Linked DNA regions of Mus musculus: all the other regions are reported to be linked to region 1. The links are microRNA targets in miRTarBase. Many come from high-throughput screens and were not tested one by one. Region 1 holds a microRNA gene; each other region holds the end of a gene's coding sequence.
Evidence for each region. Region 1 holds the annotated microRNA mmu-miR-17-5p (CAAAGUGCUUACAGUGCAGGUAG, at 1,562-1,584, shown strand). A microRNA usually pairs through its seed, bases 2 to 8, with sites in the 3' UTR of a target mRNA and lowers its output. Matches are read on the target gene's strand: a 7mer-m8 pairs with bases 2 to 8, a 7mer-A1 pairs with bases 2 to 7 and ends in A, and an 8mer does both.

Region 2: the mRNA of Kbtbd8 is a reported target of mmu-miR-17-5p. Seed matches in the 3' UTR shown: 8mer at 1,283-1,290, 7mer-A1 at 2,820-2,826 and 7mer-m8 at 2,855-2,861.
Region 3: the mRNA of Rab30 is a reported target of mmu-miR-17-5p. Seed matches in the 3' UTR shown: 7mer-m8 at 1,314-1,320.
Region 4: the mRNA of Itgb8 is a reported target of mmu-miR-17-5p. Seed matches in the 3' UTR shown: 8mer at 694-701 and 7mer-A1 at 764-770.
Region 5: the mRNA of Sox8 is a reported target of mmu-miR-17-5p. The part of its 3' UTR that is shown has no 7-base or 8-base seed match.
Region 6: the mRNA of Ulk1 is a reported target of mmu-miR-17-5p. Seed matches in the 3' UTR shown: 8mer at 2,819-2,826 and 7mer-A1 at 2,536-2,542.
Region 7: miRTarBase lists Tbx3 as a target of mmu-miR-17-5p. Seed matches in the 3' UTR shown: 7mer-m8 at 3,707-3,713.

What each region holds. Positions count from the first base shown.
Region 1 is chr14:115,042,123-115,046,189 of GRCm38, forward strand. It overlaps Mir17 (microRNA 17), which reads left to right and starts at 1,549; the gene lies at 1,549-1,632. It overlaps Mir18 (microRNA 18), which reads left to right and starts at 1,729; the gene lies at 1,729-1,824. Mir19a (microRNA 19a) reads left to right here and starts at 1,878; the gene lies at 1,878-1,959. It overlaps Mir20a (microRNA 20a), which reads left to right and starts at 2,035; the gene lies at 2,035-2,141. It also overlaps Mir19b-1, Mir17hg and Mir92-1.
Region 2 is chr6:95,126,442-95,130,508 of GRCm38, forward strand. It overlaps Kbtbd8 (kelch repeat and BTB (POZ) domain containing 8), which reads left to right. Exons shown (of 4, transcript NM_001008785.5): 4 at 36-3,352. The coding sequence ends at 499. Among named protein-coding and RNA genes, the nearest start is that of Kbtbd8, 11 kb to the left of the region's middle.
Region 3 is chr7:92,835,138-92,839,204 of GRCm38, forward strand. It overlaps Rab30 (RAB30, member RAS oncogene family), which reads left to right. Exons shown (of 5, transcript NM_029494.2): 5 at 552-1,980. The coding sequence ends at 802. Among named protein-coding and RNA genes, the nearest start is that of Ddias, 37 kb to the right of the region's middle.
Region 4 is chr12:119,159,532-119,163,598 of GRCm38, reverse strand. It overlaps Itgb8 (integrin beta 8), which reads left to right. Exons shown (of 14, transcript NM_177290.3): 13 at 99-262; 14 at 360-796. The coding sequence ends at 482. Among named protein-coding and RNA genes, the nearest start is that of Itgb8, 77 kb to the left of the region's middle.
Region 5 is chr17:25,564,092-25,568,158 of GRCm38, forward strand. Sox8 (SRY (sex determining region Y)-box 8) reads right to left here. Exons shown (of 3, transcript NM_011447.3): 3 at 1,802-3,990. The coding sequence ends at 3,242. Among named protein-coding and RNA genes, the nearest start is that of Sox8, 4.6 kb to the right of the region's middle.
Region 6 is chr5:110,782,861-110,786,927 of GRCm38, forward strand. It overlaps Ulk1 (unc-51 like kinase 1), which reads right to left. Exons shown (of 28, transcript NM_009469.3): 27 at 3,440-3,575; 28 at 1,629-3,367. The coding sequence ends at 3,312. Among named protein-coding and RNA genes, the nearest start is that of Pus1, 4.3 kb to the left of the region's middle.
Region 7 is chr5:119,682,807-119,686,873 of GRCm38, reverse strand. It overlaps Tbx3 (T-box 3), which reads right to left. Exons shown (of 8, transcript NM_011535.3): 8 at 2,150-4,067. The coding sequence ends at 3,782. Tbx3os2 (T-box 3, opposite strand 2) reads left to right here. Exons shown (of 3, transcript NR_040416.1): 3 at 820-1,786. Among named protein-coding and RNA genes, the nearest start is that of Tbx3os2, 6.4 kb to the left of the region's middle.

The sequences.
Region 1 (4,067 bases):
CTCCGCGCCGCCGCTCGCCGCGCAGCCGCCCAGAAACGGGCGGGGGTTGGGGGGGGGGGGGAGTCTCCGCGTCCGGCGCAGCGCGGCCCGGCTCTGACCTGCCGCCCCCTGGCGGCCGCGCGGGGAACCCACAAGGGCCGCCTGCCCCCTTGTGCGACATGTGCTGCCGGCCCGGGCTCCATGAGCGTGGCGGGTACTTGGCAGGATCCCGTGTTCCCGTCCGGTTTTCTCTTGATAAGCTGGCGCGGAGGGGAGAAAACTGGAGAGCGCAGCAGGGCTCGTGGTTCTTAGGTGACCAGAGGGAAGAAAATGAGCAACGTGCCACGAGGATCACAGCAGTTGGGGAAACAACTCTTTATCCCGGCGTGCAGCCACGAGGTCCTGATTGGGGGAGGGGTGGTGAAGACTAGTCCTGGTTGCCCTTTTTCTCTAGCTTGAGCTGGACAGTAGAGTTCAGGCTTGCTGCTACTCATCTTGCAGTATTTCAGGGGCACATTAATTCGTGCACGGATGTGAATCTTGGTGGGTTTTCAACTTTATTTTGTTACAGCGTTTTCCACCCAATACATTGTTGCCCTCAGGACCTTGTGGTCCTGGCTCTCTCTTTTTTTTTTTTTTTTTTTTTTTTTTTGGCAAATGGATAGAATTGCCCCTTAGGAAGATTAAGAGAAGAGCAACTTGGAATGGGGCTCGGAAAGTGGTAGTAATTTTGAGCAAATGTGCTTACCCTTTCTCTGTCTTCACCCCACCCCCAACCCTAGTCATACACGTGGACCTAGCAGCACCCGAAGCATTGCCCAAGGATACTTGCTGAGAAGGAAGTTTGCCTGAGTGGGTGAGTATATTCTAGTTTTGTAGCTAAAACTTCTTTTGAGACCTTTGGTTTTCACTTTTGTCTTTGAGCTTGTACAACATTCTTGGTCTTTTAAGGTATGAAATAAATACAGTTTGAACTCTTGTCATAAATGAGTGAGCCACATTTTAACGTAGTAAATCTACAGTGGCTTTTGGACACTAACCAAATAGTTGTAGACCCTTCAAGTTGGAGTCATAGAGTATTTCTAATTTGGGGTGATACTAAGACTTTTTTATGTTTTATGACTAATAAACTTGAAAATGACTAAACAATAATCATTAATCTTGTCGAGTATCTGACAATGTGGAGGACAGAAGAAAGGGATTGCTGCCTGGTCAATGTGAGGCTTTCCTCTAAAGGTAGTACCAAGTCAGACTGCCTTCCTGATAACAGGTCTCATTTTGTAGGACCCTTATTGTGTGTTTTTTGGGGAAGCCTACTGTAAAAGCCAACATTTTAATGGGATTGTATCTTATATTTCTTTAAGGAGTTTTTTTTTTTTTTTTAAGGCTTACATGTGTCCAATTTGGAACTTCTGGCTATTGGCTCCTCCCCTCCCCCCCTTGGGTATAAGCTGTAATTGATGTTTGTGACAGAATTTAGAGCTTTGGCTTTTTCCTTTTTGTCTAATTATTTATTTCAAATTTAGCAGGAATAAAGTGAACCTCACCTTGGGACTGAAGCTGTGACCAGTCAGAATAATGTCAAAGTGCTTACAGTGCAGGTAGTGATGTGTGCATCTACTGCAGTGAGGGCACTTGTAGCATTATGCTGACAGCTGCCTCGGTGGGAGCCACAGTGGGCGCTGCCTCGGGCGGCACTGGCTGCGTCCAGTCGTCGGTCAGTCGGTCGCGGGGAGGGCCTGCTGGTGCTGCGTGCTTTTTGTTCTAAGGTGCATCTAGTGCAGATAGTGAAGTAGACTAGCATCTACTGCCCTAAGTGCTCCTTCTGGCATAAGAAGTTATGTCCTCATCCAATCCAAGTCAAGCAAGCATGTAGGGGTCTCTCCATAGTTGTGTTTGCAGCCCTCTGTTAGTTTTGCATAGTTGCACTACAAGAAGAATGTAGTTGTGCAAATCTATGCAAAACTGATGGTGGCCTGCTATTTACTTCAAGTGTTGTTTTTTTTTAAACTAATTTTGTATTTTTATTGTGTCGATGTAGAGCCTGCGTGGTGTGTGTGATGTGACAGCTTCTGTAGCACTAAAGTGCTTATAGTGCAGGTAGTGTGTAGCCATCTACTGCATTACGAGCACTTAAAGTACTGCCAGCTGTAGAACTCCAGCCTCGCCTGGCCATCGCCCAGCCAACTGTCCTGTTATTGAGCACTGGTCTATGGTTAGTTTTGCAGGTTTGCATCCAGCTGTATAATATTCTGCTGTGCAAATCCATGCAAAACTGACTGTGGTGGTGAAAAGTCTGTAGAGAAGTAAGGGAAAATCAAACCCCTTTCTACACAGGTTGGGATTTGTCGCAATGCTGTGTTTCTCTGTATGGTATTGCACTTGTCCCGGCCTGTTGAGTTTGGTGGGGATTGTGACCAGAAGATGTGAAAATGACAATATTGCTGAAGATGCCGATTTCCACTGTAAAAATGTTCACGAGCTGATGGAGTGTATGAACACATTCTGTAAACTGTGATTTCTATTGCTTTCGTTGGTGTGTAAAACGGGATTTTTTTAATTGAAATTTGTGTTTTTAAATTGTGGTTTGTTTTTACTGAATCATTTCATTTTCGTGTTTGCTCGCTGGATTTAGTAAGAAGTTGTGTGTGGGGGCTTAGGTGAAGTTAAACTGCCTTTTGAACCTGGTATGACTTCAGGTTTATTTTACTCTAAAACCCATTAACATGAGTTAAGAAAAATGTTACTTTCTTTGGATCTCTGTTTATTAAAGTGTGACAATTCAGATGGAGTGTTTTCTGATAAGATTATTCCTAATCCGTGAGTTCTTAACAGTTAACAGGTGGTGGCCACTCTGTTAATGTGCACACCCTGTAAGAAAGAACTATCCTTGGACTGTTCTTACCATGTGACCCCCTCAAGGGAAAGATGGCAAACTGATGGTCAGTAGAGTGACAGGTACACATGACACTCGAGTGCTGGGTCTGGAGAAGCTGCAGTTAGTATTTAGGATAACAGTATATATAATATATAGTTCTACATTTGGGCAGCACAGTTGGTTTCAGGCTATGAATAAAAATCATTGGAGTGAAACCTAAAGAAAAGTAAAATTAATAAGGAAGAGCTGCTAAAATCAGGTTTAAGCTGACACTATCTACAGAGCTAAAGTTTTCCATAATATGTTGCTTTTTTTAAAAGAAATGCAAGAAGCTGACTGATGGATCCCTGAGCTGCCAGGTAAGGATTCCACAGGCCTGGGTTTGATTGTGAGTGACCAGAATTGTACAATTATTACTAAAACAGAAACATAGTCACTTCTGACTCCATTCTTAACATTTTTGGATTAAAACTTGTTTCAGATGACTAATGAAAACTTCCTTTAAAACGTGATAAAGCTCTAATGTCAGCACGATCCACATGATCCATGTGCCTCCTATAAAGGGAGGGGTCTGTCACCAGTGTTACGGATTGAATGCTACGTTTATCTTCCAACATAGGAAGCCTGCCAGGTACTTTCTTCAATATACTAAATTAGAAGTTTAAAATTAATAAGGTCTTAATTAGGACCTTTGGATGCTGAGCTTGTGGTAGTAATTGTGTTCAGAATGTTTTGAACTTAAATTGAGATTTAATTTTAGTAAGGAATGTGTGTCTTAGAGGCCTAGTAGTGAAGAGGAGTTTTCCTAGGATTTTCCTCTCTCCTCCCTTAATTAAGCTGCTTTCTGCACTAAGGGCTTCACGCAGCAACGCACTTGTTCAGTTCCGCACAGGGGGCTTTGCTGACTGTCTGCTCTAAAACTCTGTTGGCAAAACAGCTGTGGTCTCTCTTAGACTTTGATTTTGTAGTAACTAGGGCATATAGTTGCTATAAGCTTTCAGGAATGGGGGTGGGTTACTAATGTCTTATGTTATATGAAAGTAGTTAAATTTATCCTATATTAAGAAGGAAGCATTATTGAGACTATATACTGTTGATTTTACTAAAAACTCTAAGATGTCCATTTTAACAGGCAAACCTAGCACAGAAAACCAGCTGGATTTTCCCTGTGCATGGTTTGAAGAGTCAGTCCTACATAATTGCTGACACA
Region 2 (4,067 bases), not on the chromosome of region 1:
AAAACTTACATATTTGTTTCCCTTTTCTTTTTTAGGGGAATTTTTCCTCTTCTATGAGCCTCAAAAAGACTACTGGGGATTTTTAACCCCCATGACTGTGCCTCGAATCCAGGGCTTAGCAGCTGTGTACAAAGACTCAATCTACTACATAGCTGGAACCTGTGGAAATCATCAGCGTGTGTTTACTGTTGAAGCCTATGATATAGAGCTAAATAAGTGGACTCGTAAAAAGGACTTTCCGTGTGATCAGTCTATAAATCCATACCTGAAGCTAGTACTTTTCCAGAATAAACTCCATTTATTTGTGCGAGCTACTCAAGTGACTGTTGAAGAACATATCTTCAGAACCAGCAGGAAAAATTCTCTTTACCAATACGATGACATTGCTGACCAGTGGATGAAAGTGTATGAGACCCCAGATCGGCTGTGGGACCTTGGCCGCCATTTTGAGTGTGCGGTGGCTAAACTCTATCCTCAGTGTCTTCAGAAAGTTCTTTAAATAAGCAGCAGGCCAAAGCACGCCCCTGGCATCTCATACTGAGGAAGCTGGCTTAGGAAATGCTGTCGCCATTGAAGAAAGCTAACAGAGTCTTGTATTCAGAAATGGGTGCTCATAAAGACTGTGGTGTGGAGAGGGATTTGATTTTACCTTCATGATATTTTCAGTTCAGTCAGGAAAGGGAACAAAGTGCGGTTATCAGCATTTTTCCACCCCTGGCATAAAAGTATCATCCTAGAGTTTTGTGATAAATAGTTGCTGAGAAACCAGGTGAATTCAAGACAACTATGCACTCTTGAAAAGCAGAATATTCCTGGGTAGAGACATCCAAACTGGTTAACGTGACTTTCTTTTAACTACGGGTAACAATATGAGGCAATATCATTTATTTAGCTGTGATCTCTAACACAGAGAAGCACTAACCTAGATCCTCAGTCTTACTATTTATATCTATTTACATATATATTTTTGTGTACTGTTTTCAAGTGTACGAGATTTAAATGTGCTGTCAGCAGACGGAAGGGAAACTCGGTTTTCAGAGCGAACTTTTAGTCCGATTGTTCCATGTAACTTTTAAGTTAAGCTGCAAGGTTAAAGTGGCAGTTTTCTGTCCATAACTTTTTCAAGTGCTAACACTGTCTCATTTTTTAAAATCCCAGAAAGGGCTCAGATTTGCAGGTGACTGGTGCTCGTATAAGTTCATTCATGTGTAGTTAGATCAACTTAAATGGTTACCGAGTCTCTGTTTATCTTTCAGGTTAGCATGCTAGTTCCATGGTCCTGGCACTTTACCTTGTGATTCCATGAGGTCTGCTATTTGTGTGATAGGATATGGCCGTTGGCCATTGGTCTAGCTGGATTCAGTTTTACAATTCCAAGTTTGCACTAACATGGGCTGTTTTGTTGCCCAAACTCTCTTTCCATCCTCTACCTTTCCAGTCATTGTTGGCATCGTGAAAGTTAACTAATAATGTGAAGTTTTAACACCTACTTATAAAATTCTGTTTTCTAGAAACAAGAGTCTTGGAGTGGTCTAATAATTAAGTGGCTTATAAGGTTCATATTATGGTTACAACCTCTCTATTTTTTTGCACTCAACAGTGATGAATATTTTTATGTTGAAACACTTGTAGCTGAAGGCGATCTAGAAGGAAGGATGAGTGAGTGAACAGGTCAAAGGTTTCTGTGCTCTAGGTACTAAGGCGCTGTTCATAGTGAACTGATAAGTTTCTCACAGTTAGTTAGGGATATTAACATAAACTCCTTTTCACCTAAGGCAGGTATTTAGGTTGATAACATACTCATTACTATGCCTACTATAACTGATAAAGAATATTACACATAAGGCAGAGCCTGTCCTCAGTCAACACATTTTCTTTAAGAGACTCAATTTGATTCTCTTGAAGAAACCTGGCAAGATTTTGTATTGGAATAGAAAAAAGTCTTGCACAACGTGTAAGGTGATAGATACTGTGAAACAAATGGAAAATATTGCCTCTTGCATCACATACCTCCTTTTCCAGAAACTTTATAGACTGCATTACAAAGGCCCTACAAGGAGAGAGTTCTCGAAGCAGTTCAAGTGGACAGCATTCACAGATTGTTCATGTGTCCTCCACAGCTGGATGCGTGGCTTCTCCTAATCTCTTTGTAAACTTTGTCAGCCAATATTTTTTTAAACCTCTCTAGTTGTCTTATGGTTTTGTTTTTTTTGGGTTTTTTTCATGCTGTTTTAGGGTTATTTCTGTGAATTTTTTGAATTATAGTTTTGTATTGCTAATGAGAGGGAAGAGAATTTTTACAAGAGATATCCATGTAATTTATTTTTGAAAGCTTTGTTGAGTATCTAAGATTTCCTGCCACTTTGACAATCTCTGTATTTAGGAAAATTCATTACTTGAATACATGATGTAGAACATTGAGTTAGCAATGTACATGTACCGTACGATATGTAAGAGAACAATACACTGTGGCTAATTCTATACTAGATTTATTCTGTTGGTCTGTACAACAGTTGGTCCTTTTGTCATAACTGTGTCTATTGAGGGAATCATTTCAGAATAGTGTATCAAAGCCAAGGTTTAGAATTTGCTACAGGAGTAGAATATATATTGAATTTTGTATGAATTATTTGTTTACATTACATAGCTGGGATATTTTGCCACTTTTAAAATGACTTTAGAAAAGGTCCTAGGAAACTTAAGATTAGTGATGTGTGTGGGTTTATGTGTAGAAATTCAAGGTACATTCTCATAGTCTGAATATAAGTAAAAGGCACAAAGGCTACAGCAGGATTCAAAGATCTAACAAATGCCAATCCCACTTTAACTATGTTTCTGCATTTGAATGTACACAGCACTTTTCCTATATAGTTCTATACAAAGAAAACAGAACTAGGTATAACTGTGTTGTAGGATTGAAGAAATCATTATTTATGTCTGTCTTTGTTTCTTGTTATCCTACAAAGTTGATGTGTAAACATCAAGTTGATTTCATTGGTGCATGAGGAAAAGTGGATGTGATCTGTGAGGAACCAGAGTCCCATGGGAAGAGTTTAAGATGGCATTCAATATTCAGTGCTCAGGTATGTAGTAAGTACTGTAGTCCTATGGGGCAAATGTGTAGATATTTTTAAACATTTTGCCGTAATTGCACAATTTTTGCATTTTTACCTGATGTCATTGTTTCTTGTAATAAAATCTTTTCTGATTGAAAACTGCCAGTGTTGTAAACTGATCTCAAGAATGAATTTTGCAAAATTAAAATTTGGTGAAAATCACAAACTATCTCATGTCATGTAGAATGAAATAATATTTTAACCTATTAAATATCTGACTTGTGGCTTAAAAATGAACTAGTTAGTATTAACAAAAGCTCCTTTATTCTGATGTAGCCTAAAATGTCCTCAATGCCTCTCTTCTATGCCAGGAAATTCCGTTGCCTCCTCTGGAGCACCCTCATCCTCTTCATATTACCCTAGTTTAAGCCTGTTCTGTGTGCAGTTGCCACTGAAAGCCATTTTCTTCTGTTTAGCACCCTTGAACCCTGTGATCTGTTTTCTTCACACAGTTTGAGTGGTTCTGAAGGCCGGGTTGTGTCCCTGTTCCTGCTCAGATCCAATGGCATCCTACCTCCACGTGGGAGCTAAGCTCCTTACCAATATTATCTTCCACTCAATATTATCTCTTGGGCCTCATTAAAATTTCTTGAACTCACTAGATTCTAGCCACATTAACCATGCTGTTCCTCAGACATGCCAAGTATCTCCCACATCAGGGCCTTTAGCCTTGCCATGTTATTAGTCAGAGAAGGCCTTATAATTACCCCTTCCAGTAAAATAACCCCTTACTAGGCTATAGAAATGGCTCAGTTGTTAAAGAGCACTGTCTGCTCTTCTGGAGGACTGAGGTTCGATTCCTAGCTCCCACATAGAAGCTTAGAACTGTAACTTATTTCTAGGTGTTCTGGCCTCCTGGGGCATGAGATGCACATGTGAACACAAATACACAGTGCAGAGAGATATATCCAGGCAAACAGATGAAGAAAAAATTTTTATTAGATATTTTCT
Region 3 (4,067 bases), not on the chromosome of region 1:
AGGATGCAGGGTTAAATCATAATGTTTTAAATTCAATTGAAATCTTTGTACTTATGCAACTATATAACTAACAAGTTTACAGGTTACTTTTAAATTTTAATTTTGTATTAAGTACATAATTATCTTGTTCAATTATGTAAAGTGAGATTCTAAGGTCATATCTGTAAAGCAGAATATGATCAGAGAGGGCTGGTTTCCGCCCCTGTGCTCTCTACGTTTCTCTTTCTGGGTGCCCATTGTCTTTTAAACTACAATCTTGCTTTATTATTTTTCTTAAAATGTAAGAAAAAATGGAATTTCTGTCTATTTTTTTAATTTAGACAGTTGAGGATTATACTTTTTTTTCTGCTTCCTGTGCTCATATTCTCAATGCACGCAAGGCACTGGTGTTTTAAAATCAACAACACCGCGATCACGGTCACATTTATTGGGCTTTACTCGCTCACTCATCTGTTTAACCTCCTGATGGACTTCAAGTCTGGAATTGAGTCGCGATGCTTCCTGGCTGAAACACAGTCAGGTGATGATTCTTTGTTTTACCCTCGTTACAGGCAACAAGATTGACCTGGCTGAAAGGCGAGAGGTCTCCCAGCAGAGAGCAGAAGAGTTCTCAGAGGCTCAGGACATGTATTACCTGGAGACTTCAGCCAAGGAATCCGACAATGTGGAGAAACTCTTCCTTGACTTAGCATGCCGACTCATCAGCGAAGCAAGACAGAACACACTGGTGAACAATGTATCGTCACCCTTACCCGGAGAGGGGAAAAGCATCAGCTATTTGACTTGTTGTAATTTCAACTAAAGGCTGAGGCAAAGAGAATCAAAGGGAATCAGTAGTTGCCTTGGTGGGCCGTACGTTGCTAGGGAATCTGGCAATGACTATGGCTCCCGCTCTTGGACCTTCTGACTCCTGTAGGCTCCAGAGCTTACCAAGCATGCAGGCCAAGGGCCTTGACTGCAGGCCAGCATTAGCAGAACACATAATGGTTTCACCCTTTTGCAGTCTGGCGTTGGAGCAAGGAGAAAATTGCACTAAGCGCTCCATGATCTGCAGAGCATGTTGCTTTTGTTTTTAAAAAAGCAAGTAAAAAATGCATTCCTGAACACAGAGCAGGGGATCGTGTACTGTAGGAATCCTTCTGTGTGTCAGCGGGTGCATGAGGGGCTATTCTTTAGGCTTCAGTGGTAATCTGGTGCCCATGGATTTCTTGACTACCAGGTAAACCAAAACTGGAAAGGCCAAGTACTGTCTCTGTAGTACTTATTGAGGACCCCATGGAGATTTTGAAAAGTGTTATTTCTTTTGTCCACAAGCACTTTCAAAACCTTTGGGATATAAAAATGGGAACTCTTCTCACGACCAACAGTAAAAATTATTGTTTAACAATATATACAAGCTCCATGACTCTTTTTGGTGCTAATGATTATGCTATTTCACAGACCAAACGTTTTAGTACATTGATACCCTTAGATGTATTACCTAAAAATAAAAAGAGAATGGGGGAAATCCATGAGTCAGCAGTCTTCTTCAGTCTCATTACCACCATTTCTAGGATGGGTTTGGATATGAGAAGCCCTTCTTCTTTCATATTCTCCTTGAAATTTATTAACATTCTTCTATTCTTTCACACTTATCGTGCCCTTTAGGTAAATCAAAGTATTAAAAAAATGGGGAAAAATATAAATTATGACATTCTAATAAAGAAGATTAGTTGTAGGACATGTTGAGTAGCATGAGAAAACAGAGCAGATATGACCAAAATACTGTGGACTATGGACTGACTGCAGGGCAGACTTCCAGACAGAGTGCAGCTCTCTAACAGGTCACGCCTTTTCCTTTCGGGAACTAGCCTTGGAGAGGCCAAGGTTTAGGATTTTGTAGACATTTTTAGTATAATAAGTGAGAATAGCAAGAGATGAAAAGTCTCACAAATCATTTTTGTATCTTCAATAAACTTAGGAAAGTGTGCTCAGGAAGCAGGCTGAGCTGTCCTTTATTAATATTAATATTGATCTCAGATTCGTCACCATACATTTCTTCCCCCTTTATCTTTTCTTCTCCCTAGTCTCCCCCTGTAGTGTTCCTTTCCCCATTCCTTCTTTTTCTCTTTCCTCCCCATACCGGTATGCACGTGTTACTCGAAGTCTCCAATTCCGATGGAGGTGTATATGCCTTTACTTAGCCGATTTCACAACAGGACTCAAGTTGGGACACGTGCTGCTGAATGACTTCCTGTTTCTTCAGTGCCGTGGCTTGATGCCTTCCAGTTTGTTCACTGTCATAGCTGCAAATACGACAGTAACTAAGTCTGTGTGCTCTTGGTGTTGCTGAAGCTTGCTGTATAGCATAACTGAGTATGAGTCACTGAATGAGGATATGACGGGAAATTCCGCTGTCGGTATTGATGGTGACAATCCTGGACCTGACATGTCACTCTTGGAAAGCTACTGAATTGTAAAGCAATGATTCAACAGGGCAGGATATTGATAACACATTTCTAGCATTTCTAACAGAGTCCAGAATGCCCAGTCTTTCTCGCCTGTGACTGCGTGTATTATTACCAGTCGTTGGTGTTGATTGGCTCACTGTGCTCTTCTTGATTCCACAGGAAAGAAAAAGGCTTCCTACAAGTTTGAACTGTCTTCCCTTTATATAGGAAGGGGAAATAAATCACTTTAATGGAAATCAAAATCATCTATAATTACCTTTGCTTAATAGCCAGCAACCAAAGGCATCAGAAGATAAACTAATCAAAGTTACAGAAAAATATATCTTTCTACTGTGAATGTCCCTAAATTTAGATTTATTACTTTTCTTTATGGCAAAATTCTGATCTCCCCAGCATAAGATGACTCAGCCTTGTCTCACAGCACTGTGTTAAAAATAACGTTGCTTTGTGAACTTTAAGGGCTTTGTTAGATTGGACTAATTTAGCTCCAGAATAACAGCTTTTGGGGTCACATTTATGTTATTTTATTCTCATTCCTTTGGGCTTATAGCACCCCCATCTGTCCCTTCGAGTTCAGAAGCAGCTCAGAGAGCTCTGCCACAGGTCCATCTCCCTCTGGGTCTCTGAGTCTTTGAGTAAATCATAGTCACCAATCTTTGGCCTATTAGTGTGGACACTTGAGAAGCTGGGCCCTTCCGTTCCACAGTTCTGTGAATTTAAGATTAGGCCATTGGGATATTTGTTCAGCGATGTATCTCAAGTTTGAGAACAATCCTTGACAATACTGTAGGTGCAATAAATACCAATTGAATAAATGAGTCAGTGCCAAGAGTTTTGTTTGTTTGTTATTTTAAAGTGAAAGTCCTTAAAGTGGTTCTTGAGATAGAATCATTTCAATCTAGGGCAGGACATAAATATTATTTTGCCTAATAATTCTTATTGCCAGGGCAATATTTGCTCAGATAAGCCTCCTTTACATATAATTATTCAATGGTGAAACCCCCCCCCAAGTTTTGGTTTATTGTGATGTCAGCTCATCCTGACAAGGCCATCGCTTCTTCTATTTGTAGTATGACAATTTTTTTTTACTTTTTAATAAAATTATTAAATATGTGACCACCTTTTCAATTTCCAATGAAAATACATGTTCAGGGTGTAGAGTCAAGCTTGGAAAAACTCTGTAGGATTGTAGGTTTCTGATAGACTGTGTCCTCAAAGAACTTAGCGGTTTCTCCTTTCTTACACAGAGCCGTGTTCCTTTGTATCTTTCATTAGATCTGTTGGATTATATTAATATTTAATTACATAGAGCCAATCATGGTTTGTGTAGACTTCAAAAGTTACATCATTGGCTTTTTCCGGCTTTCATCCCCTCTCCCCACCCGTAGTTTAGTCATTTTTTTATGTCAGCATCTTTCCCTAACTAAAAATGAAACTGAAGTGTATTAGCATTCTAGTATGTCAGGTTTTGATTTTGAAATTATTAAGAAACCACTGACCAAAACAAGATGTCTGGACTAGTATGATTGAAAGCAGTGAGGCTCGATGGAGGGAGGAAGAAAGCAGAATCTTTCTCTTCTCTTCATCAGAGTGTACCTGGAAGGACCCGAGTGATTC
Region 4 (4,067 bases), not on the chromosome of region 1:
GCTTTTATTATAAGAATGTAAACTATATTTATTTGACAGAAAACTTTGGTTTACTTTAAAAAAAATTTTAACCCATTAACTTGTCTCCTTTCTTGCAGAATGTTTATCTGGCCCAAGCTATCTGCGAATATTTTTCATCATATTCATAGTCACATTCTTGATCGGGTTGCTTAAAGTTCTTATCATTAGACAAGTGATACTACAATGGAATAATAATAAAATAAAGTCCTCATCAGATTATAGAATGTCTGCTTCTAAAAAGGTTGGTGAACTCGGAGGACAATTATATTAATTATATGTGACTGTGCACTTCTAACACTCAGCTCTGTTACTAATCCTAATATTTCTTCTCCATCAAGGATAAACTGATTCTGCAAAGTGTTTGCACGAGAGCTGTAACCTACCGACGAGAAAAGCCTGAGGAAATAAAAATGGATATCAGCAAACTAAATGCTCAGGAGGCCTTCAGGTGCAACTTCTAAATAAGATTAACAAACAAACAAAAACTGTTGGAAGCTGGATGGTTTTACAATTTATTCTAGCAAGTATAATATAAAGTCACAGGAGAAGACAAATTATATTGAAGAGTGTGCCATGAAGACTGGCAAGTGTCTTCACAACCATATGACTCACTCAGCTGCTGAAGTTTTCAGTGAACTATGTGTCTTACTACTGTTGGAGACTAGTGTTGTAGCACTTTATTGTAATATATAACTTATTTAGATCAGCGTAGAATGTAGATCATCTGGGAAAGCACTGATTACACTTTACAGGTACCTGTCAGCCCTGAGCTTCACAGACAAACACGAGGCTATGGAGCAGGTTGCAGGGTGTCACCACCACAGACTGGTGATCCTTCTGTACAACCTGCTGATGAAAAGCATCCAGGAGTAGTTGAAAGCAGTCAACCACACCCGGCAATTGGCATTGTCGAGCTGTGTACAACCAGCTGAGTAAGGGTTAGGCTTTCATTTCAGTTTGGGTGAACAGATGAACTTTAATCTAAGCGGTGTTGCTTTTGAAGCTGTGCAGTTTTGTGCATGCACGGGTCTGTTTTCTTCTCCTTTGAAGCTGCGTGGCTTTGTGCATGTACAAATCTGCTTTCTTCTCTTTTCCAAAATGGATTTTGACTCCAACATCTTCTCCTTTTTGCATTTAAATTCTGTTTTTCTTCCTTTGGAATAAGTTTATAATGTCACAAATGACTGGATTAAATAAGTGCTAAGTTACTACTGCCATAGAACCTATATGACAATGTCACTTTACTAGAATACTGGTTTTAAAGCTGAATGTTAATAAGGGTCACTGTAAGGTGTCTAAGGTCATCTAAGTCCATAGCTTCTTTGTCTGAAGATAGTTTATATATTCTTACCTGTCAAACTGGATGGATTGTTTCACTCTGTCATTGATCTGACCTGTAGCCCGAAATCCAAAAGGTGTCTACAAAACTGCTTCGAGCAGAGTACCCTCTTTTCTGAGTGTGTTCTCTTGATTTTTACTCCAAGATGATGTCAACAGTTTTCAAATGGAAAGCTATATTATTCTTGCCCTCCTGTGTTCCCTAAGGGCATTCCTTGAATCCCAACCCTACTCATAAGAATTCACAAAGGTATAAAATTGGACACATGAGGGTAATATCCTGGAAACAAGCTAATCTCCCCTTTTTGTTAGCCAGGAAATGGAGGCTCAGAAAATTAAAACGATTTTACAAAACACAGACGCGGAGAAAGTGACAATACCAGAGAAGAGCTGCCTTCCAATTACAGGACAGCATTGGACAATAATACTCTACCTCTTGAATCTGTAAAACATCCATGGCAAAATTTAAAATACGATTTATTCAAGTCTTGAATATTTTTCTTGAGAATATTTCAATGCAAAGTAGAAAAGGGTACTGTGCATAAGCAGCTTCTAGTTTTCCCCATTAGCCACCTTCTGATAAGGCTTTGGTGCAGCCCTTCCCTCCACAGTGACTACAAGAACAAGCCTCTTGGAGCTGGCCATGCTTTGATCCAGAGGCTCGTGACTTGGATTCTAAATTCTAACTGTCCTTTGTGTAGCAAGTGTCTTACCTGTGAAAACAGAGGAATCTAAAGAGTGTCTCTCCTCAGTTTGCTGCTCTCCAGCACTTGAAAGTTATTAGATATTAGCATGTCGATGAACACTAGCCTCTATTAGGTATTATACTCTGGGGGCTGGAACGCCTGTAAATTATTCTCTAGTCAGAAAACATGATGTGTCCCTTAGCAGAGCTATGACAATGCTCTTGACTTGAGTGTTTACTCAAGTTGAGATGGGCATTGTCAAAATACTGTGACTGCACCTAAAGAAACTGTGCTCACTAAAGCTGATGTGAAAATCCTACTTTGCTGCTCAGAATAGGGTCCTTTTATAAATATACATATTAATGGATGCTTGGCAGTCCCTCCTCCCAAAGGAAGATATCCATTAATTAAATGCTAGCAACTCAAAAGTGAGCAGTGTTTATGAACAATGATTTCCACATGAAATGAGCAAAAGAGCATAATCAAAGAGAAGCCTTGAAAAAAAATGATTTGTACATTTTTAGGCCCTCACTAGTTTGCACTAATTTTAAGACTGACCAAGGCTGTTGCCATGGGAAAGATGAATTTCCTTGCCAAGAATTCAGTGCTGGATGATAATATGTACTTACATGTGGAATGTCTTGTAGCCTTTCTTTCTCTTCTTTTTGTTAACTTAAAAAGCTAATTTTTAAAAGATTGTAGGGCTTATATTTTACTTGAATAATTGTTCTGTTTAATAGTTTGTGAGAAGAGAATTAATATTTACTAGGTAGAATTAATTAACAGTAAGGGGAAACAGGGTATTCTTAGATTAAATAATTTATGTATTTTAGACTATTTTCAAATGCTATGATCACATGAGTTATTTGAGTTGTTGATAGTAAATGCAATTAATTGAATTTTAAATTGTTAGCAAAATGAATAACGAGTGATAATTTTTTTGGCCTGTCAGCATTTTGTTCCCTGGTGTGTAATTATTCAAAACTGTCCCATATTTCCACTACATAAGCAACTATATACAAGTTATTTCTTCTGAGACATTTTTTTACACTGCAGTAAACATGTATTTATAAACATTTGATACAATTTTTTAGGTATTTTCTACTATTTATTAAGCCATATCCATTCTCTAAGAGACATGTTCAATTTAACTTAGTTTATAAAAATAACAAAAACAAACTAGGTATCTCTGGGGGCAAAGTTTTCAAAATTGACAAATTAAAATTGTGTATATATCAAATGCAAAACCGCCAAAGAATAAAATTCAAATATCTTTTAATATTTACTAAACCTCCATTAAGGATATTCTTTTATATATCAACAAACATCTGTGATACACTGAAATCATTATTCTTGCTAGATTATGAATGTTTTTCTCAGTAGAATTATATTTCTTCTGGCACTTGGTAGACGAGCTTATACTCAATGACTCTTCCTTCCTTCCCGTCTCCTGTTTGTCCCATTCACATTTCTCTAGAAATTGCCCATAAGCTTCAAGCCAATAAGCCTAATTTTGAAAAATAACAGCTTAACAATATAACTAAGTTCTTCATTTCCAAAAAAAATCTCTTATTAATGTCGGCACTCATTTGGACAAATACAGCCCTTCTGAAAACAAAGAATTTTAAATGTTCACAATGTTGTGATTTATGTTTTGTAAAGGTAGCAGCTCATTAGGAGGTTCAATACTGTATTCTCCTTGTTTACTCTTGATACTTAGCTTACAGCTATCCTTATGTCCTTAGGACTGTAAAAACTTCATTTTATGTAATGCAAACGTTTTCAAGGGATAGCACTAATATTCCTTCAAATCCTTTCCTTTTCATCTTCCATAATCCCTGCATGGCAAATTAGTTGTGGATAATTGATTAGACATACCTACTGTGTGTCTTGCTGATTCTAGAAGACATTTTTTTTTCAATTTAGCATCCCCCAAATTGGGACATCTCTTGAAATTGTCATCTGCAGTGTAGTGTTTAAAACTGTGTTGAGATAAATACTACAGTAATTAAATATTCATGG
Region 5 (4,067 bases), not on the chromosome of region 1:
TAGCTCTGACCTCCACTGAGGTCAGAGCTAACATTGTATTAGGTCAAGAAATGAAGAGGAGGGACTTTCTGCCAACTTGCCCCTGGGATGGGCTAACAGGATGGGTGCTCTCTGAGAGAACAGGACTCTAAAGCTTGGACTCAGGGCGAAGCTGGCCAGGGAACTACTTTTAGACTGAAGTTCTCAGGAGACACCAGACAATCTCTTCTTATGGGCCAGCACATCAGAACTCCTTCCTCTCCAAGCTGTCTGTCCCAGTCCCAGCACCAGCACCGGGAGTCTCCCAAGATGGATGACCTTGGAAGGTTCCGCCTCTGAAAGCCCCAGGAGTTGAGGTGGAAGCAGGCAGGGAGGTACAAAGTACAGAGAATCTACAAGAATAAAGTTGGGGTAGCCAGGCCAGGACACTGGTGCCCCACGTCATGATGCTCAGATACAAGAGGTTCTCAGGAAGCAACACCCAGTATCAGGGCTGGCTGGCAAGACAGAAGGGCCCTGGGTCCCAGGAGTTAATACTCAGGAGGCTTGCCAAGTTCCAACAGAACTGGCAGGGCCACCCGGCCCTTGGGAACCTGGCAAGCCCCAAAGCTAATCCTAACCAAGCAGCAGGGCTTCACGGCTTTGTCAGTGAGCCGGGAACCTGGGGTTCTCCTTGGTCTGGGGTGTCAATGAGAGAACTCTGGGGGCCATATGGATTCAGACAACCCTTGGCTGGATGCAGGACTGGCAGGGTTTGGGTCTACATGGACAGTAGCCTTCGAAGACATCAGCCATCCATGAACCTGGTTCTCACAGCACCATCCTCAGAATCCCCTACACCTGGAAGCTTGGCACACTCAGACCTTACGAGCTCTTATAAACCCAAGTGACTTTCTGAATGCTGGTCTTAGCAGGCTCTAGAGTCAAGCTTCTTAAACTGGGGCAGTAATAAATTAACACACACACACACACACACACACACACACCACACACACACACACACACACACACCACACACACACACACACACACCACACACACACACACCACACACACACACACACACACACACACACCAAACACACACACACACACACACACACACACCACACACACACCACACACACACACACACACCACACACACACCACACACACACACACCACACCACCCACACACACACACTGTGGCTCTAGAGAGACATGGCTACCCCACTCCCAGACCAAGACTGAAGTCTACATAGCTGAGATGAAGCCAGCTCTGGCAGCCCCTGCTAGCCACATGCACCCGGGAGACTTGGCCAGAACCCCTCCCCCTACTTGCTCTCTCTCCTCACAACCATTTTCTCCCTAGAAACTTTGCTCCAAGCAGCAGGCTCTCTTGGGATGGTTCTTCTCTGCTCCCAGCCTGGCTCTGAGCCAGGACCCTGCTCCCAGAAGAGAAAATGCCCATCGATTTGAGACACTGTCCAGCCACCCAGATACCAGCCTCGATTCGGCTGGGAGGAAAGCACGGCTTGGAATGGCCCGTCTGGACCTGTATCTGTCTGCTTTGGAGCAAACCCTCAAAATGAGGAAGCCAGACAAGGCTAAAGGCATGGTGTTTAAATTCAGACCAAGTGGTTGTGACAGGGTTGGCTACCTCCCTAAGGTGAGGAAGTTCCCACCTTGGGGAGTCTGGGCTGGCTTGCTCCCCTCCCCCCAGTGGCCTGCTTAAGGCAGCTGGACCCAGGCTCTCAGCAGAGTTGCACCCATCTCTGCCAGGAACCTTCCTGTAAGAACCCCCAGGCTTAATTATAAGAAGTAATACTCAAAACATGCTCCAAGTAGAGAAAACATTTTTTTTTTTAAATTTTATCAAATTTATCTGTACAAAAGTTAGCATTGCCTGGTCAGAAAGGAACGAAACACAGCGAGTAAAGGACAGCAAATGTCTTTCTGAATTCAACACCAAAAAAAAAAAAAAAAAAAAAAAAAGACTGCATAAAAATGAGTTTGCTGTGGTTCCCACCTCGGCCCCCGGAAGGAGATAAGCTGAAGAAAGAAAAAAAAGGCTGGATTTTTTTTTCCCCTCTAAAAAAAGGTAGGAAAAGTAGAAAAATTAAAAAGAAGCGAAACTTCTCAAATGTGAGCAAATATACAAAGTGTTCAAGGCACAAGTTTCCGTGACGTAGCCGGTTTATACACTCGACACAGCGACGCAGGCAGGGAAGCTGATGTTACTCTCTAACTAGGAACCTAAGCAGGTTAGTTGGGGAGGCTCTCCTTTCACAGCTTGGTAAGTAGCGCCTGGTGCCAAAGAGCCAAGATTATCGTGGTTCTGCAGCTGCCCAGCTTGCAGGAAATTCCGTCTTCTACCGCTTGGCACCATGAAGGCAGAGATGCTACTCCTGCCTTTCAATGCCTGGCCCAATGATGGTGCCGGGCTTCTTGTTCTAACTAGACCCTAAGAGGTTGATCACTTCCTCCTGTGCCTGGTGGAGGCCTCCAGGGACATCCGAAGGCCAAGCAAAGAGATGCTTAGGGATTCTGAGCCACCTCCCTCCTGCCCTTTACAGAGCAAGCTTCCCCACTTTAATTTTGTCTTAAATTCTACTCTCTGCACAAATTACTTCATTAATTAAAGATAAAATAACAACAGAACATAAATACGTCTTCAACACCTTTCAAAAAAACAAACATGTTTAAGCCTTAAAATAAAAAATAACAAAAAATAAAAATAGACACAGAAAGTGTTCATCTCAGCCAAGCCTTGCTGGGAAGAACGGTGGTAATGAGAAACCCCTCAATCTCACATTGGTCCCAAGAGAGTCCCCGGGTTGGATGTATCCTCGAGCATCCACAGATGTCCTTTCATGCTTTCACCGTGGGAACAGCATCCATTGGTCCCAGGGAGGTCTTGGGTAGGCTGATAAGGACATGAAGCCCATTCTCTCCTTTGTCCTTAGGCATAACTATCTTCTTATCTACTGAGATGCAAAACTCGGGAGCTGGTGTACACTTATCCAAACCGGAGAGCAACGGAATGCCTGTTTTGGAAACCACCAGTCACCTCAGAGAAAGAAGAGGGGGAAAAGAGAGCTCTGTCCCCTGGCAGAAGTTTGGATATCCAGAAGCAAAGGGACACAGGATGACAAAGCCTGGCTTCCTGCACATTCAGCAGGCACTTGACGGAGTAAGGCCGTGCTGGCTGCCTCCAACCTCTACCGAGTACACTCCGGAAGAACTCAAAGATCTGGCTAGACTTCCTGGATGCAGCAGCCTCAGGGTCGGGTCAGGGTGGTGTACACAGGCTGGTCCCAGTTGCTGCTGGGGCTGTGTGCGGGTGGCATAGAGAGCCCATTGAGCAGTGGCGAGGCATAGGGCCGACGGGATGAATGGAAGTAAGGGTATTGGTAGAGGCTGGGAGGGTAGCCAGGGTAGGGGCTGTAGTAGTTGGAAGCCTGCAGGTCAGTGTAATCACACTGTGCGCTGGCGAAGGAGCTGGCAGCCGTGGCAGAGGCAGCTGTGGTGACGCTGGCCTGGGCACTGTAAGAGCCATAGTCAGCACGGCCAGGTGAGCCATGTGACTGGTCGTTGTAGTGGCTAGGACTCAGCTGCTCCGTCTTGATCTGTGGCCGAAGGGGTCCTGCCTCTGTGGGCGAAGCTGAAGCCGAGGGAGCTCCCTTGTGGGCCCACACAGGGGATGCCCCTATGCCGGTTGCCCCGGAGTGCGAGTAGGAAGCGCCTCCATAGGAGCCAGAGGCAGTGGCCTGGCTGGGCTCTGTGGGCAGGGCTGAGTGGCCATTGAGGGGCAAGTACTGGTCAAATTCATGGACATCGAAGGTATCCATGTTACTGATAACCTCGCTGCTGAGCTCGGAGATGTCCACATTGCTGAAGTCGATGTTCTGGCGCCCGCTGTCCACTAGGCGGCGCCCTTCCAGCCTTAGCTCTTGCTTGCTTCCATTGCTCGCCTGGTGCAGGTCCGTCTTGGGGGTAGTGGGTGGGGTGGGTGGCCCATGGGTCTGGCCTGAGGAAGAAAGTATATTGCAAGGATGAATGCTCCTTCTGTGGGACCAGGGTGGAGCTGGTGGGTGACACCAGGAA
Region 6 (4,067 bases), not on the chromosome of region 1:
GTATCCTGGTTTGTCTGGGTGTGGTGGCGCGGGTGTCAGGTTAGTAATGGGGAGGCTGTGGCAGAACAATCAAAAGTTCAAAGCCAGCATAAATTTCACCAGATTCTGTCTCATAGAAAGGGACAGCGAAATGCCTCATCACAGGGACCAGAGTTCAGACCTCAGCGCACACATCAGATCATAAAAATCTCTTAACTTCAGCACAGAGGGATGCAACAGCCTCTCCTGACTTTCTCCAGTGCCTGCACCTAAGTGCACAGACACACACACATACAAAATAGTTAAGGGTCTACAGATATAGCACAATAGTGAAACACTCGCATAGCACGTGAGGCTCTTGGTCTACTGTAGCACCAAACCCAAAGATGCTAACAAGAATTATCAGCTGCAAGAAGGAAAAACAGGACCTCCCCATGTCTCTCTATAAACCTAAAACTGCTCCAGGCGTGGTAACACCATGCCTGCATTCCATGCACTGGGCAGGGTGTGGCAGGATTGGGAGTTCAAAGCCAACCACAGCTAGTGAGTTAAACTATCTGGCAGGCTCTGACTGCTCTCCCAAGGGTCATGCATGAATTCAATTCTCAGCAACCACACGGTGGCTTACAAGCGTCTGTAATGGGATCTGAAGTCCTCGTGCGGTGGGTGTGTCCGAAGACAGTTACAGTGTATTTACTATATATAAAATAAATAAAACCTTTTAACCACTGACACCTGAAACAATGTCTCAACAGGGCATAAAAATAAAACATGGACTCCATGAACATGTGATATCTTGGATTAGTTTACTATGATATATAGGTATTACTATACCTAATAATTTTTATCCTGCGAAGATAATACAGATGTAAGATGAAAGCATTACATCTAGATGTTTGCTTGGGATACCAATGCCAGAGCAAGCAAAGGGAACCACAGGCAGATCAAGGAAGTTTTCTGAGAAAAACAAAAAACCCAAATGTGTGTAGCATAGGCAAAGTAAAACCAGGCACAGTGATATACATCTGTGATTCCAACACCTAAAAGCAGGATTGGTTGTTGAACATAGCATGTTTGCAGCCTGCCTAGACTATAGAGAGCCTGACTTAAGGGGCTGGAGAGCACAGAGGATTGGAACAAATAAAGCATACAGAGTGGCCAATGGTTTATAGAAGATTAGTGCTGGGAAACTGCACCTCAGAGCATACTTGCTAAAGTTTAGAATAAAATGACAAGTGAAGCCAGGTGCAATGGGGTGCCCGACAGTCCCTGCTATGAAGTCTGAGGCAGAGAACAGAAGATCATCTGAGCCTAGGAATCAAAGACCCTGTCTCTCAAAATGGGGAAGGTTCATTATCAATGATGCTCCACTCTAGGGGGCCTGGAGAATTGCCCCACCCTCTCTGGATCCTCACCTGACCCAGTGGGAACTGTTGTTTCCTGGGTGATACAATGAACCCACCCAGCTATCCCTGGATCAAACTGAGGCTTGCTTCCGGTGCTGAGCAAGCCACCACACCACCGGCACCGTGAAGTACTACTGGACTCAATCTGGCTGGGGGACACAGGCAACCTGCCCAGACAGACCTGAAGGCACACCCGGCTCCTGGAGGGACAGTGGCACCCCAGGATGAAATTGACACCACATAAATAATTCCAATTTTTATTTTCTTAAACTGATATGACACAGTGAAACACAAAAGGGGGAGACTCACAAAATTCATCTTAAAATTGACAGGCCTGAGCACTGCTTTCATGAGCAGGTTTGGCTCATACCACACACAGCCAGCCACACACACACACAGCCACCCAGGAGCCTTTCAGGAACCAGGTGGTGGGTCAGGAATCCCTGCACTAGCCTCCCTGGTGGCTCTGGGTTCCAGTTGGCCACAAAGCAATAAATACAACATGTTACATGCAAGGGAGGTCATAGGGTGACTAAGGAAGAGACTGGTCTTAGAGATCTGCTTTCTTGTACAACTCTTGTACAACCAAGCACAGTGGCAATATTTCAAGTATTGCAAAGAAAAACGTGTGTGTGTGTGTGTGTGTGTGGCCTATAACTCTGAAACCCCACATCAGCTTGTGGACACTCAGATACTTTCAAGTATGCATGAACAGAGCCGTGACAAAGGACTGGCAGGTCAGGGAGGCTGGGAAGGTATTAGCATGTGTCCACCCTGGAGCCTGGAAGACGAGCTTCAGCACAGATCCTGAAGGCCACCAAGCACAGGAGCCAGACTGACAGGAAAGCTCCACAGGGGACATGTTTGCATATGTTATTCTTCACCCACACCTCCACTGCACAGGGAGGACGGCACCTGGGCACTGCCTTTTCTGCCGCCCTTCCAGGGAAAGTTAATAGAGATAGCCAGCAGCACACTCGCTCTGGCACATGCTACAGCCTCAGCCACACAGCGGGCACCGTCTCCTACAAGGACAACATCCAGTGTGATACCTGGCCTGCCCTGCCTCCGCCCTTTCAATCCTTAAACATCTGAAGTTTCCTTTTATGAACAAAAACTGAGTTGGGAGGGTGGAGACACATCTTAGGAGTAAAGTGTGGAAGTTGAGGAGTTTTAACAAGCATGGGTGGTGCTTCACACAATGAACTGTCTGTCCCTAATGAACATTTAAACGTGAGGACTATCTCTCCCTCAGGAGGCAAGCCTGTTGCTTTCCTCCAAAGACCAGACACAGGAGGAGGTGAACACTGGGCTTTTTATACACAAAGATGTGGTCTGCATCTATACAGCGTCTTGGAGGACGAAAGCCAGGAACAGGAGGCAGGTTCCCAGCAGTCTGCACTGCTGGCTAGGTTCTCCAGTCTCTGTATGCATAAAGTGCTCCGGTGACTTACAAAGCTGGGTAAGTAGTCTCAGAGGGAGAAGTTCCTAGAGAGAACAGGGGGCCAGAAGACCATACCCTTTTTTCTTGGACAAGCAATGGGGCAAGTGAACTGTGAGGAAAAGCTTGCTTTGGCTTGGAGTCAGCAACGGTCTCAGGCCCTTGCCTGACACAGGGCTGCCATGGGCTCTTCAGGTGGCAGGTGCCACTTCTCGGCACCATACCTGCTTGCCAGGGAGCCAGCTAGGAAGAATATGTTCAGAAACTCCTGTCCCAGTGGGCAAGGGACCCCTGGCACTCTGATGTCTACCTGCCAGCAGAGACTGGCAGTCTAGGAAGCAAGAGTTGCACCAGTCTGCACAGGTCCACTGTGGAGCATCCCTGCTGGAGTTGGCTGGCAGCAGTCTCAGCACCATCGGATCTGATCAGTGTTGAGGACAGTCTGCCAGGTCTCAGACCCTACCCTGCAGGTTGGCAGCAGGTAGTCAGGCATAGACACCACTCAGCAGGGCCGAGAGTCTCCTCTCAATGCACAGCTTGCCTGTGGAGGAGAGAGCATGAGACAGGGAGGCCACACCTACCACCCCCACTTAAGCTCCGGAAAGGCACTCACATTTGGCAATGTTCTCAATGTCTGCCTGGTCCGTGAGAGTGTGCTGCAACCCCTCCAGCAATAGCAGGGCTTTGTGATATCTCGGTACACAGCCCTCTCGGTGCTGGAACATCTCATCAAGGGCAGCTGATTGTACCTACAGGCAACAGCAAAGCTGGGCAGGGCTGGGGCACGACAGGGGGCCTGACTGCTCAGCATACTGCGGATTTGCCCAACTTCACTTGTAGTTGTGTTGTGAACACAAAAGGTCTACGGAATTAGCTACAGATGCTCATCCACATGGCCTGCCTGCACAGTGGGCACTGTGTTGTCTGCTTGGTCTGTACACAACCCCTCCTCCAGGGGGAGCAAAGGGGAAATGCTTGCAGAGTGCTAAGCAACCACCCAGTGCCATTCCTACCACTGTGGCCGACAATGAAACGGATCAATAAATGGATCACAGCCAACTCAGAAAGGAAGAGATGAGGGAGGCCAACTTAAACTTCCACTGGCAGACATGTTCCTCATGTGAGGAACATTTGAATTATGTATGTCAAAGCAGAAACCTCAGACCCACAAACAGGGTGTACTCCTCACACAGAGGCTTTCCATGTTAGCTGAGGAAACTGAACTTCAGGGTCAAGTTCAG
Region 7 (4,067 bases), not on the chromosome of region 1:
GGTGTGTGTGTGTGTGGGAGGGGTGCGGGTGTCTCCTTTTATCTGCTACTCCTCCATCCTGGTTACCTCCTCCTGTATCTCCATATTTCCACACGGAGAGAATAAGGAACTACAGTCCCCCTCCTTGACTTTCCAAAAATCCCTTGGAAATCTCGTCTGAGGCCCACATAGGGATAGATGGAAGACTTGGCTCTTCTTCTGACAGTAGTGAGGTGGGGGCGGGGCGGGGTGGCTTTGGAGAGGGTATGTCAGACTGGGGTCGTGGGGGGGGGGTGCGACCAGAAAGGGGCGCAGAGGTGAAGACCTCACGTTCCAGAATCCAGAAGGCTCTGGGGTGCCTAGCCAGCCGCAGTTAGGCAGGGCGCATTCGTGGGTCAGACAGACAGGTGGCACTCGAAGCCAAGGAGAAAAAAAAAGGAAAGGGGAAAAAAAAAAAAAAAAAAAAAAACCAACCAACCCAGGCGCCGGCCCCGAGTGGCCTCCGCAGCCGCCGCCACCACCACCATAAAGCCCGCGGCGAGATTGCGACCGGCGCCAGGTGAGTAATAGGTACAGAAATTCAGAGAGATTGCGAGCGAGTCACCCCTGGTCCATCAGCGCCACAAGAGTTACACATTAACAGCACTATATATAAATAAGATACAGCGGAGATTAAAAGGAAAGAGGAAAGAAAAGAAGAGAGTCTGAGGAGGGGCCGGGGACAGGTTTGGGCACTGTCCCCAAATTTGGGGGATGGAGGAGGAAAGAGGGAAGAAAAATCCGACTGAGAAAGCCAAGCAAGTTTGGTTTGATTTGGTTTGGTTTCTGCTTTCTCCGCAGTTTAAGCCGAGCTATTTTCTCCTCAATTTGGGAGCTCGCGCAGCCGGAGGCCATGAGCCAACTACCACCTTCCCAGGGCGGACTGTGAAGAAGAGTTTTGGTCCCGAAGAGGACCGGCCTTTCCCGTCCCCATGTCCCCTTAAGCACTCTCCAGTCCCCTCTCTCCCGTTGTTTTCTCCTCCTCCCTAGACAGCTGGGGAGAAGCAGTGCGGGTCCCCACGTGCCTGGGCTAGAAAAGGGGGGCTTGCCCACCCCTCCAAGGTCTAGAGCTGGATCCTCTTCCAAACACAGGAGGGGAGAGGAGGGGCCCCCCTCATGACTCTCCATTCAAGAGGTGACAGGGACGTTGGGCCCGGCTGGCGGGCTCCGGGATGGGGGTTGGGGGCAAGTCAGCCGCCTGGCGGGCTCCAGCTGGGTCTTTGAGTCAAGGCCCCCAGGGCAAGAAAGTCCTAAGGGCTAACTCTAGAGTACCTTCCCTTGTAACCCCTCTCCAACACAACACACACACACACACACACACACACACACACACACACGCCCCCGAGAGGATCCTGGAGGGTGGGGAGACTGAAGAATGACAGGACAGGACAGAGGCTTCACTGATTGATTAATTGATTGATTGATATATGTATATATTTGAAAGATTCAAAGATAAATTGAACTTCAAAAAGATAGGTTGCCTAACTGACTCGGGACTGGTTAGGGAAATGAGATGGTAGCTTCCCCGGTGCCTTTTGCCTTGGGTGTTCCATGTGGACTCCGAAAGCACCTTGCCTCTCTCTCATGGTCACTGTGGAGCCCACTCCTGGGCCTTACCCACAGCCCTGAATGTCCATGGATAAGGGAGTCTGCTTGGCCTTTTCCTGTGCTAGATTCCGTGGGTGTAGCGGACCTTATTTATTTTGTTTTGTGATCCATGTCAGAAAAGGGAAAAACGAATTAAAAGCGAAAACCCCTCCTAGCTCTTATTTCCGGTCGGATTCCTGGGGGGGGGGGGGAGCCGACTTTGAACACAGGGTAAAAATCTTCTCCCATTAAAACTGAAGTATATGAAGTTCCTCTTTAGGAAACCTAATCAGGCCCCTTTCTTCTCCCGTTCTGCTCCCTAAATTAAAGGGAAAATATTTTCAAATCAAATGTGGCTCCCTTCGCCGGAGCAAGGGACTTGTTTTCAGCCTTTTAACTTGAGTGACATTTCATTTTAGGTTGCTGGGAGGGGTGGGGGTGGTCTTAATTATTATTTAGAGAGGAAGGGAGCAGACTGGAAGATCATCCTCGATCCGGCTCTGAAAGACAACTCTTGAAGAAATCATTACCACAACTTCAAAACTCATTTCAATAAAAATTTATTGAAATTTCAGTGATGTTTTTAAAGAGGGGGAGAATTACAGAAAACTCATCAAAGACTAAACACAAAATACTCCTTCTTGGGTTTTTTTTTTGTTTTTTTGTTGTTGTTTTTTGTTTTTTTTTTTAATTTTTTGTTTTGTTTTGCCTTTCATGGTCGTTTGAACCAAGTCCCTCTCAGTACACCAATCCAAAACACCATAAAGATGAACAATGAAAACCTCACATGGGTTAGTAAGATGCCAGAGTCTATGAAAAATTAGGACGGTTCTATGGTGGCCTCCGCAAGGCCGTTCCCCCCCCCCCCCTACTCACACAACAATCTCAACCCCTCTGGGGGTGTCAAGAGTTTAGGGAATTTCAAGTGGAGCCCGGAAGGGCCATTACCTCCCCAATTTTGGTGAAAATAGTTAGGAGTACTCCCGATCCCACCCCCTCCATCAGAAAAAAAAAAAAAAACTTTGCAGCCAGCTCTACTTGAAAGCATGGAGATGTGAATAAAGATGCCTAGGCTTGCTAGTGTGGATTAGCCATCTCCTGACCTGGAAATAAGACCCAAAAGGCAAAACAAGAATAAAACCTGACAGACACGCTCCTATTTACATCCAGCTATGTACAATTCAATAAATTAAAGTTTAACTTTCTGAGCAGTCATATTCCACCTATTTACAAGAGATATCAAATAATTACATAAATACTTTGTCCAATAGTCGTGTTTCCTCTTTATTATTATCTTTTAAAACCTTGTTATTGCATATACAGTTAAAAGAACTAATGGTCCAACAGGCACACGAAGCCCTCTACAAGCGCTCAGATAAAAATCAACTCGGTTGGTTTCATGCCCATAGCTGCCCCTTTTACCCCACTTCCTCCTGGTTGCCGCCTTGAGCAAGGTTGAGGATAATGGGACTTCCGTTGTTTTTCCATAAAAGGGGGGGGGGGCAAAATAAACCCAGAAAACTGTAACATGCAAAAAAGAAGCCAGCATCGGCTCTTAAAACATCACAATATTTAAAAACAAACAAACAAAAAAAGACAGGATTCCTTTAATATAGATGGGGCAAGGTAAGGCCCCTCTTCTCTCTGCCCCAACGAAAGTACTCAGCAATTGGTGAGTTTCAGTCTTCATAGACAGTTCCACAGGACTTCATCTCCCCCCACCTCCATATTGGTTTTGTTAGTTTGTTTAGGAGGGGGGATGTTTCCACTAAACACACGAAGGGGGAAAGATTCCGGTGAAGTCTCTCAAAGACCCGCGCTCCTGGCTGGCCTGGCTACCTTGTTCTTCAGCCCCGACTTCCATACCAGCCTGCACAAAAGTCGCTCTAGACACAAAAGCCTGTTTGCCACCACTCCTCCCGCCCCCTCAGTCCCGCGTTTCAAAGCAACAGCAGCCTGGTTACACAGCCCATGGTGGCAGGGCCTGTGGTATCTAGCATAGTCTCTGGAAAGGCTTTAGTGCTCCCTCCCAGACAAAACTGAAAGGGACAGGGCGGGGGTCACCCCATGTGGAAGGCCCGTGGTTTATTTTACATCTAACAAAGTGCACTGGCAGATTTGACCAAACTGGAATGGAGAGACCTTGGGGGAGGGGGCGATTTTGTTTTTCTTGTTTTTAAGGGGACCCGCTGCAAGACCTGTCTGGCTTGGCTTCCAAGCCACTGACCAGCCGCTGGATACTCTGCAGTTCGCTGGTAGCCGCCTCCTTCTCGGAGCAGAGTTTGGGTGACAAGGACACTGAGCCAGAGGACAGCGTGGACGAGCGGCTGTTCAGTTCCGACCCCGAGTCCACAGCCACCGAGGCTGGGCTGGCTGCCAGGGCGGCCGCTTTGCCGTCTAGGGGCCCCGCGGCGGAAGCCATTGATGGTAAAGCTGTGGCCAGCAAACTGCTGCTATCCGGC